3 linked regions of the Drosophila melanogaster genome follow. The protein of the gene in region 2 interacts with the protein of the main gene of each other region in a pairwise test. Each region holds a gene or a part of one and is shown on either strand. Other genes may lie near its edges.

Region 1 (4,788 bases), on a different chromosome or scaffold from region 2:
CCTTCTAGGCTTGAAGTCACTTGCACTTTTCAACGTATAACATGCTTTCCAACGAACTAATTTATTAAATTGCAATGCCAGAAATTCAACTAAACAGCAATACGTCCGCGCGTAGAAAAGATCTTAAAGGTACTGAGTGTGAGCAACATGATTAGCTCTCGGTGCTAAATTCGCCGGAGATAACCCAGATTAGATTTCGGTTATATTTTTTGAAGATAATGGCTTTATGTTGAATACCAGTCTGGTTCAAAAAAACCTTAAATGATATGCTAAAGATAAAAAGATATAAAAGTATGTACTTACTATTTGTACTTTGTTTTATTGAATCATTTTGTCTAGACTTCAACTTAAACCTTAATAACATAAAACACCGGCATGTGCAGAATTTAAGAAGTCGCCCAAATACAATAAATAATAATAATTTTTATTAAGACACTGAGAGAAAAATTAAGTTTCGATATTAAATTAGGAACGAACGATAAAAAAAAAAAAAACTTAAAAGCAAACACATAAGTTCAAGAACGAGTAACCGAAATTATAAACTTGAGAACGAACGTTCACATATAAACAAAAGTCTCACTTCAATCCTCAAGTATCGTTAAGATATATGACTTGTAGTTAAGGCACATTGTTTATATGTTATTAGCCAGAAAATTGGGCAATACAGCTTTACATATATAATTGTACACTTTCCTCGTAGAATATAAGGGTTAAAAACTATGAAACAAGAAAGTGTTTTTGACCCTACAAATGTGTATTTATTCAATTAAATCTGGGTATCTGATAGGAATTGAGTTCTTTCTTGTTAGTTCAAATTACATTATTTTTTTTATCAATGGAACTATAGTCAATCCATAATCAAATGGAAAGTTTGTCGAACCTGTAAAATCTGGAAATTGAGATTATTCATGCAGTTTTTGGTGGCGCCTTTTATTTTTATACCCTTGCAAATGGTACATTGATTTCATTCAGATTCGTATATTCAACAGTAGAGTCGATACAGTCATGTTTGTCTTCGTTCAATTTCAGTTAGTATACATATAGGTTGGACCACTATATCATATTGCTGTTATAGGGATAATCGAAAAATAATGGTAAGTATTAATATATGTATGAGATATACAACAGTTTTTGACCATATTTTAATTTGATGAAAATCAAAAGAAAATATATCATATAACTGCCGTACAGCCAAGGCAAACCAAATTTTAATTAAAGTATTTAATTATCGTTATAATTGTGTTCAATTATCCGCCGGCTAGATCGGAAACAGGAAGTTACTGTTGATGTATATTCGTTTAAGGAAATACGGTAAGAACGTTGGCAGCATGGGTTAATTTTTCAGCTTTTGCAAAAGCTCCAAAGTAAATGCAGGCTTGTGGTAACTATCATCGCATGTGAACAGCGTTGTACACACACACACTTGCACATTTACACCTGGGTATTGAAGTTATCAGCTAAAAGAGAACTGACTTCCTCCGATTGTACATATATATATATATATATATATATATGTATACAAACATATATATGTGTGTAGAGCAGATAACCACTGCATGCGGAGAAGAGCTTGGCAGGTGTTAGTGAGTTCAGGTGAAATTGATTATGCGAATGGGGGTAAAAAAAATATGGCCAAACAGTGAGGGAGCCAGTTAAAAAACGGTGGTCGATCCAGCCGGTCCGACATTTCAGTTGAGAAGCCAGAAAGAATAGAAAACCGAGAGCCATGAGAGAATACAGCCTGTGTATGATTGTGATAGCAGCTTTCATTGCCAGCCAGCTGGACAGCACCTCAGCCCTCCGTAGGTTACCACATTTTGGATGAGTTTTTTCAAATGACTTACTTCAAATTATTATTGCCATTGCAGAGTGCTATTCGTGCACATCGACGACGAATGACACTGGAAATTGTTTAACGAGTCCATCTACTCAAACTTCTATAGAGTGTGATAATGAATGCTATACTCTTATTAACGCAGGTGGGTTTGTATGACTCATGACCGACTATTTCATATTCTTAGACGGGGGTAGTGGCCCTCTTATCGATCAGTGCAACCAAAGGTGATAAGCGATTATCTCTTTTTCTTTTTGATAGCTATTGATCCTTGTTTTCTTTTCTAATTTCGTGCGGATCGAAAAAGGTTTATGATGTTGTGACTCATTTGGCAGTTACTGCACTACCTGGCTTTTTCGTGTTGTTGTCTAAGATTTAAATATTGCGTATAATTTGATTTAATAACGAAGAGAACGCTAAAGTGGAGTCACTCGACCATCAGATACCTCTTTATTCAGCTTGTGGGAGTTTAAGGTACACATTTAAACATTCTGTTGAAGTATCAGTAGAATCTGGCACGCTTTGTGGGCTTTAGAGTGGGCGTGAAAATGATCTGAATGAAATTAGCACAGCTTAGGCGCCACTAGAATCTGCAGGCTCTCAACTTATAAGGAATATATAAGTTATATTAGAAATCATTATAAGTTTATATTAGAAATCATACGAAGTTTTGCTCTGAACCATATTCCCTTGCATCTAGTTATTGATTTTCTGTATCCCAATAGGAACTCTAACTCGTGGCTGCTTGATTAATGGCACTGCGTGCACCTTACCATCCTGCTCGACCTGCAAGGAAGACAATTGCAATTTGAATTTGGTGTGCCAGCAGTGCCTCGGCGAAGCGAATTGCGCCACGACCAACGTGACGGATACGCAATACAATGCAGTGTGCCCCAATAATGGACAGGTCTGCGTGAATCAGTTGAATGACAACAAGACGGTGACCCGTCAATGTGGTGACCCCTGTGCTGCTGGAACGGAATCCACGTGCTCCTCATGCTCGGCATCCCTGTGCAATGTGGGACTATTCCCCGCCAATCGTCGCCAGTGCTATAATTGCTCAGGAGAGAACTGCAATGCGGTCTCAAATACCTTGGTCGCGGGATGTAGTCAAATCGATGCCGGGTGCTTCACCACCGGAACGTCTGCGAGCAACATGACCCGTGGTTGCACATCGGCCACCACGGAAATCAAGTGTGCGTCGGACAGCACTGATCCCAGTTGCCTCGTCTGCAACTCCGACTTTTGCAATAGTCCGACCTACGAACGAGAGGCCGGTTCCTGTATCATTTGCGAGAACTGTGCGGAGCAACAGGTTGCTACCAATGCGAAGTCCTGCGGACAGGCCAAGTACAACCAGGAAGTCGGGTGTTATACCATGACCTCAGGAACCAATGTTACCCGAGGGTGCCTAAACACCTTGGAGGCTGGCTGCTCTACAACCAATGCCTGCACTTCCTGCTCCGAAAATGGCTGCAATGTGGCTGCCGGCGAGTTCCAGTGCATTACATGCATTTCGAATGAGGTTTCCGGCTGCTGGTCGGCCAAATATCCGGACACGCTCCCTTTGATCAACTGCCCCAATGGAACGTGCTACAGCGGAGTCTGGAGTAAGTTGGTACCAAGTCTAAGCACAGCGAATCAATGCTATAGTTTTCAAAGATTTTATTTTATAATGTAAAAGGGTATTCCCAAATTGCATTATTATTATGCCAGCAAAAATCCTAACAATTGCCTTTCAACATTTTCCCCCAGATGAACTTGGAGTGCGAGGATGTTTTACCGCTGCCAGCCACCTGATGCAGTACCAGTGCAATGCCAAAGTGGAGGCCCATCAGTGCGAATTGTGTACGGAGAGCAAGTGCAACAAGGTACCCTTCAATGGAGCAGGCGCACTCAGGAATGTGGGCGTGGTCGGCCTTCTGACGGGAGTGGTGATCGCTCTACGCAGTGCCCTGTAATCCAACCACCTCCACGTAGTTGGATGATCCAATCAAATTACCGGGTGCCTGGGTCTATGAGTAATGTTAACTATTACAAAGCAACAGACAAAAAGACATAACCTAATTATAGGAGCTGAAGCATTTTAAGAACACTTCCATAATCCCAAATAAATCATTTTAATAAAACAATTACTCTTTCACAGTAGTTTAGTAATTATGTCCTTGGAAAACCCTGTTTTCATTGATGGCTAGTGGTAAAAGAGTTTTCAACCTGCTAGGCCTTATCAAATAAAGAAATAATCACAACGCCTTATCAACCGCAGTACCATTAATAATATACTTTGTACATATATGTGTGTATATTTATTGCATCAATCAAAATGAGAGTTTATATTAACAATAGTTCGAAGAAATTTGTTTGGGTGCACTAGAAGAGCCAGTTGGAAATGTCTCAGAAAGTATTTGTAGCATTCTTAGGTAACTCAAATTACATTTTCCATTACATGACGATGGTGATTTCGCCGAATTCCATAATTTTGGTTTTCAATTTGCCATTATTAAGCTGAACAGGCCTATAATATAATCATAAGTTTGCATTTTTCACTCCTAAAGAGCCAGCCGGCTAAACAGAAGATCATTAGACTTGAGTATATTATTCGCGATCCTGCATTCGTGGCCAAACCATTTTTATCTATTTCCACATAGTTGCAATCGTCTTCGAAACACCTCTCACAGAGTTCTGCATGTTTCTCGCAGTGTTCCAGTGAACTCTCGTCCATGTCGGAAATGCAGCTTCTCACCATAAAGCCATCTGGTCCTCCAGCACTGCTGTTGAAGTTGAAGTACATAGATACGCAACCGTTCAATTCGCCTAACTTTATGTGGCACATCTTTTTGCCCTTCCTAGTTCTGGTTTTCCCCTCATTGGGTGAGCAAAATTTACAACTGAGGCATCTTATAGGCGGAGAAAGCGTTGTTGTTTCCTCGACAGGTGACGAACTTTCCTCCATT
Region 2 (2,903 bases):
ATTTCTCAGGCGTTGTTTCTCTGTCTCAGCAGATTAATAATATCAAAAATGGGAGGTCCGAAAAAACTTTCAATGGCATTCGTTTCGAAGTCAATGACTCTGGGCATCGAGATCGAGTCGAATAAGCAGGGGAACTTAAGTAACGACAGCGACGGCGATGTAGATGAATTAAAAAATTGTGAAAATCAGGAATATCTTTACCATCTTTACCATATCTTTACCGGACTCTGATGATAACTTTTGGAAGGACTTTTCTGAACAAGCCGAAGCCTTCAAAGTCCTTAGAAAAGATGTGCGTAAGATCTTCCGAACCTCCTTATGTGAGCTAGAATACAAAAAGGCTGCAAGACACTAAGGCCTCAACATCCTCCGTATCGAATGTATCTTAGAATTATTGGATCGGTAAGTTGTTTCTCTCATTTAATAAACGGTGTTCGTTGTGGTCTTAAATCTCAGAACTATTGTAAAAACTTTAAATAGTAAAGTAGTTTGATTTGTAGCTTTTTTCTGCACTTTGATATATTTACCTACTATTTAAGTTAACAATTTTGTAGTTCTATTTACAATAATTAAGTCGGTCCGAATCGCTTGCAGTCAGTCAGTTAGGTCAGCTCCTCTACCACCACTTGTTGCTCTTGTCCTCCCATTTGCTGCTGGTGTCCTGTTTGACATCCACGTAGCTGGTGGCATGACCATGCCCATGTCCGTATTGCTGGCCATATGAGTGGCTGTGCTCCAAGTGACTGGCGTGTCCCACATGCTTCACGGTTGCCTGGAATCCGTTGTGGGAGTCGGCGGTGTACTCAACGATCCTGGTGCGTCCGTCGGCCTCCTTCATGGTGTAGCCTCCCTTGACCTTGTCGCCATCGCGGGTCTCCCACTGCTGCTTGATGTCGCCGGTCTTGGTGTCCTTCACCCCGTAATTGAATTCGTATTTGGGATGGTGTTTGGGTTCCTCGTGGTGGCTCCACTGGTGGTGGCTATCGTGCGCAGCGACTGGAGCCCACTGCTGGTGGTGATGATCCTGAACTGTGCCCCATGAATGGGCCTTTGGGACATCCACCCATTGGTGGTGAGCCTGGTGGTGATCCTGCCACTGCTTGGGCGCCTCGTGATGCGTCTGGATGCTGTACCCCACGCCGTGTTCGTGACTATATCCACCATGAGGGATGTAGCTAGCAGCAGCCACTCCCAGAAGTGCGCAGCAGAGGATGCTCAATTGGTGGGCCATTTTCGTTGGTTTCTGATTGACTTGCCTGGCCTAAATCACGATTGGAACTGTTATAATCACCAGACAATGCCCAATGCTTTTATACTTCTGGCCATTCTATGGATCGATTAATTACATTTTAGACTGCGGGCTAAATAGGCTAGAAAAAAGTAAGAGCCCCAAAAATGGGTATAAAAAATGCTTCGAATTTTTGTGCAAATTTTCATTTTTCCCCATTCGTATTCATAGTCTTGGGCGGTCGGTCGATTGGCAAATTAAAACTTGCCAGAAACAACAACATCATCATTAAGCGGGGCGTGAACATCGCTCAAATGCTTGAAAAACGCAAAGCTTTTCGATTTTGTTGCTTAGAAATCAATCAACAAGTGTGGCCCGCTTTCAAATTGCTCAGCAATAGCCGCCTCGCCTCGCCTCGCTGCGTTTCCACGGTTGGACCCTCTTTTTCGCCTACTTCACTCCAAATGACCTTGAGACGGACGGTGCGGTAAGGGGCTGAGAAGGGGAGGGCAGCGTTGGGCGGACCGTCCAATCGGTTGGTGTTTCTGACCAGGGGGTCTGCTGTGGGGCACCCAGAGCTTCCGAATTGGTGTTAACTTACCGATAGTGTTTTTTAATGCATATAATTTACAAGGCTAATAGACTTTAAGCTCGGAAATTTGAAATGCGTGAAAATATAAGCATATTGGTATTTAGCCTACGTTATCTGATGTTAATTATTTTTAAGACGTTTATTTGCATAAATTGTTTCGCTATCTATAGGAATAACATGCATATTAAATAAAAAGAAATCCTGTAGTTCAAGTTTTAAAACTACTAATAACTATATAATAAATATAATGTTGAAGCCAACAGATTTCTAGGAAAAACACATAATTATTTATAGCAAAATAGGTTCGCTTTGGATATTTACATAAGGATTTCAAAGTACAACACTACAAAGTTTATTTATTGGTTAGTTTAACAGCATTTCCTTATTTCTTCAAGCAAAAGCTGCCGCCTTCATCAGTTCACATTCTCAGTCATAATTAATTTTTGTAAATTAAGCAATAAGTTCTTGCCTTAGTTTTTCCCTTCTCTTTGACTGAATACCAAACACATCGAACGATCTAACAAAAACTTTTTGGATCTGATATTATTAATTATTACTAGCAGAATTTAATTGTAACGGATTGGACTTTAAATAAAATGTGCCGATTTTCTATAGAGCTCAATGGCCGAAACAATAATAATAAGTACGAGTTAGTGAGGTAATTATCAAATCAGCTAGCTCGATTGGTGAATGGTGTGGCCAAGAGAATGACCACCCGATGGTTGATTGCCCCAGAGTCTTCGATAGCTATATATAGTCTAGGTGAGCTCCCCAAGAACCAGCAGACATCATCAAAGTTCCGATTGGAAAACAGCGAATAAGTGACCGATATGAAATCCTTTAGCGGAGGTCTGTTCTTTGCCCTTCTGGTGGGAGCCAGTTGGGCAGCTCCCCATGGTGGACACGCCACCAGCTACAGTTCGGTGACCAAGCACGAAGGACCCGTCCACAAGAGCCTGGGCTACGGATACGATCACGATGTGGTCAGCGCTTACGGTGGCATCTACGGACACGGCTATCCGAGTGTCGGCCATTCGGGCTACGGATACGGATACGACAAGCACGAGCCCCATCACTATCCCA
Region 3 (3,282 bases), on a different chromosome or scaffold from region 2:
TAACCCGAGTGTTGGCGGGTTCAAAGCTCTCGAATTATTGATCAATCCTGCACGGGTGGGCAACTTAGCCCCTCCATGGAGATGCTAAGTAAAATCAATTTCAAAGCAATTCCATTGCGGCCCTTGTAAGGAGATCCATAAAATAAATTTGTATATAAAAGGAAAAGTCGCGTGCAAATAAATTTCCAGGCTGACAAGTGCGAAAAAGAGAAATGTGATGTTATTTCTCCGGCGGCCGGATGATCAAGATGACATCAGCGCAATGGAATTTTGATATTTTTTTGCCCAGCGGACTTCCATTTCCACAGAACTGCCTACTTTATCCATTAATGCCAGATAAATCCAGTTGGCTGGACCGCAGAATTGTCGTTAAATATTTAACTGCAGGCGCCGTCTGTTGGCAACAAAGTATGTGACTAAAATCAATTTATATATATGACCACGTATAGTTGCCAATTGTCAGTTGTAAGTGGTGATAATTTGCGCACTCGCATAAATTTACGGCTCGAAGGACGATTTGTACGAAAAATAATGGTTTGGCAGGGGGAGTATGTATTCAAACAAGATTAATTAATTACCCGCAAAACACCAAATTACGCACCATATTGCCAGGGGCAGTCTCACCTTATTTATTTCAGATGAATAATTTAAAATACTCGAAACAAACCAGATTCTACGAGTTACAAAAAGAGAACGAGTGGCAGGGGGAGGGGGGCATTGCTAACCTGTTGGCTTATCAACAAGTTGCAATTTTAATAGAATTTTTAATTCCCCGTCGATGATCCATCGATTGCCTGGAATCAATTAAGTGAGTGACCAGGGTTTCTTCACCCCATGAATCATGGAGCATCATTCACTTTAGTCACTTCCTTACCACGATCGAATAATCCAAATATGCGCAAGGTTCCCCGCAAGTTCAAGAGTTCGAATCGATAAACCTTGTTTTGGGGGCGTGGCTGCCTTTGATTTCTCACATCGTTTTAAATATTCTAGAATCTCGGATCTACCGCGATGTTGTGATTACCAAAATCATCGGCTCTGACAATTGATTAATGGATATCGAATTGGATGCATTGATTGATTGACAGCCATTGTTGTTATTAATACTCATTAATGCAAAACGGGCGTTTCATTGTTTATGATGCGGCTTAAATTTGATTTAAGCGACACTAATTACCTTTGATCCCATTGGATTTGCTGAAATGTAAACAAATTGAAACTCGTCTGGCCAATCGATCTTCGTTGAATGAAGCAGTTGAATGTCTTTTTCGGGGATCATCTCTTCTGGGTTCGGGAAGCTGATTCACAAATCGATAAATCCAGAGGTGAATGACTTGCATCGATTTAGTTCAGGTTTCTAAACAAGAAGCTACAATTTTGAAACAAATCAAAGGGAAATTATTTCGATTCGTTGTTATGTATAAGACTTATCCAACATTTAAAAATTTAAAATGACTTTTTCATGGGACTTTTGAAAAAGAGCTAGTGTTATCAATCATTCGTAGTATATCTTAATACACAACTAATTATGGTATTTAAACACAACTTAATTAATGCCATTTGTCTCCTGCAGATGTCGCCCCCAATTTTTGAACCGGCTCCTCCGCGTCGACTTGCATCTCAGAAAGGTTAAAGGCGATCCGCTACTGCCAATGCAAACTAGTTGCCCACTAAGTTGTTTCCAAATGGCTTGTTAGTATGCAAAGAATTCTAGACGGATAAGCTGATATCGATTCGTTAGCCACCGAATAAACCCGCGTCGCGCCTGTATTAAAGCCATCTAAACGATCTCGTCTTGGGCGTAAAGACCGCGATTTATTATCCGCACAACAATCGTCGGCGGGGAGGCAAACTAAAATGGCCAGCGGGTGCATTGGGGTCGAATCAGACGTAATCAAGTAGTCGATATGGACACACGCTTGCTGACTGCACTATTGCTGATCGCGGCTTGCAGGGCCGAGGATCCAGATTTGGGTCAGGATCAGGATCAGGCGAAGATCACGTTTAAGCCGGGCCGATATGTGCCACGCCTGCACGGTGCCACGGGTTGGTATGTTCCGGATGATAGTGGAAAGTACCGGCACGATCCCAGGCCCTATGACGGCGGCTATGGAGATCGTGGTGTTCCCTATGACTCCGATTTGAGCGGCATTTTCCGGAATGCCCAGCGCCAACTGGAGGCAAAGGTCCAGGAGGCCGGTGAAGGTCTATCCCTCGGTCCACGAGATCATCTGCGATTCATGATCGACTTTAATTTCAATGGCACCGGCTGGCAGATAATCCAGTTTCAATGGGTACGAGATGGCGATGAGTCCCATCCAGACACCAAGGAGTACAGCTACTTGACGGAGAACAAGCTATGGGACTCGGATCAGGCCTATGCGTACCAGGAGCCCGACGATGGCTGCCATATCAACTGTCAGCCGGAGACGGCGGTATACCCGCTACAATCGGAGCCTGTCCAGGAGCCAGTGGTGCAGCCAACTCAGGAGCAGCAACAGTCCAGAACAAACATCAATTCAGAGCAGGATGTGAGTAGTCAAAAAATATCTAAAATTCTAGAATTGCTAAGTAAAGTATTGCTTTCCTTTAGCCTGGCAAGATTCATGATACCATCAATGAAGTCCTGGAGTACATACAACAACGAATCCTGCCTACGTTGCCAATTAAAGGGGAGTAAATCGGTTTCAGAAACATTCAATAAATAATGAAAATAAATAAACAGTGTGGTTTTTATATCAAGGTATATCAAACTTTAGTAGATATACTAGAGTTTAGCTCACGGCTCATATATATTACACTTGAAAAATCCATAAACTATTAAGAATATTTATCCCTTAATCTGATAAAATTAAACTAACTTACGGACTTCAGAAACAGGATGTAGATAATTGAAAGTATTTGGTCCTCTTGATTGAAACACCTTTGAATTCCTATGGCACATCAATTTATTCAATTTAAAATGTATACACTTGTAAAATCCAACTTTATTTCTTCGTCTTGGCATTTGCTTCCAAAAAGGCGAGTAACTTTTCCACATAGGGCGGTGGTGGTGGCGCTGTGGGCAGGTGGGCGGCACTTGGCACAAAGCCATTGTCGTCTGCTACATAGTCCACGCGGTAGAGGATGCCGTCGGGTCCAGTGTACTCGTAGAATCCCTTGGAACGAAGTCCCTCCTCCTCGGTCAGCTTTTCGATGCGTCCACTTTCCTCGCCTAAGATGCCGTTCTCAGTTTCCCAACTAAAAAGCATGGTTTTAAAATGCGTCACATTGAAAGTTACA

What was found.
Region 1: the proteins of Cpr76Ba (region 2) and CG10650 interact in a two-hybrid assay, tested with the Drosophila melanogaster proteins (one large-scale study listed by BioGRID).
Region 3: the proteins of Cpr76Ba (region 2) and CG13155 interact in a two-hybrid assay, tested with the Drosophila melanogaster proteins (one large-scale study listed by BioGRID).

What each region holds. Positions count from the first base shown.
Region 1 is NT_033779.5:18,992,793-18,997,580, reverse strand, and holds CG10650 (uncharacterized protein), read left to right. Parts: upstream 1-1,646; 5' UTR 1,647-1,726; coding exon 1,727-1,802; intron 1,803-1,868; coding exon 1,869-1,979; intron 1,980-2,559; coding exon 2,560-3,444; intron 3,445-3,589; coding exon 3,590-3,795; 3' UTR 3,796-4,221; downstream 4,222-4,788. Other genes in the region: CG46465 (uncharacterized protein), read right to left, coding at 4,350-4,788.
Region 2 is NT_037436.4:19,517,045-19,519,947, forward strand, and holds Cpr76Ba (cuticular protein 76Ba), read right to left. Parts: upstream 1,289-2,903; 5' UTR 1,232-1,288; coding exon 617-1,231; 3' UTR 508-616; downstream 1-507. Other genes in the region: Cpr76Bb (cuticular protein 76Bb), read left to right, coding at 2,651-2,903.
Region 3 is NT_033778.4:12,379,047-12,382,328, reverse strand, and holds CG13155 (uncharacterized protein), read left to right. Parts: upstream 1-1,902; 5' UTR 1,903-1,907; coding exon 1,908-2,531; intron 2,532-2,593; coding exon 2,594-2,680; 3' UTR 2,681-2,715; downstream 2,716-3,282. Other genes in the region: Cpr49Ab (cuticular protein 49Ab), read right to left, coding at 2,988-3,240.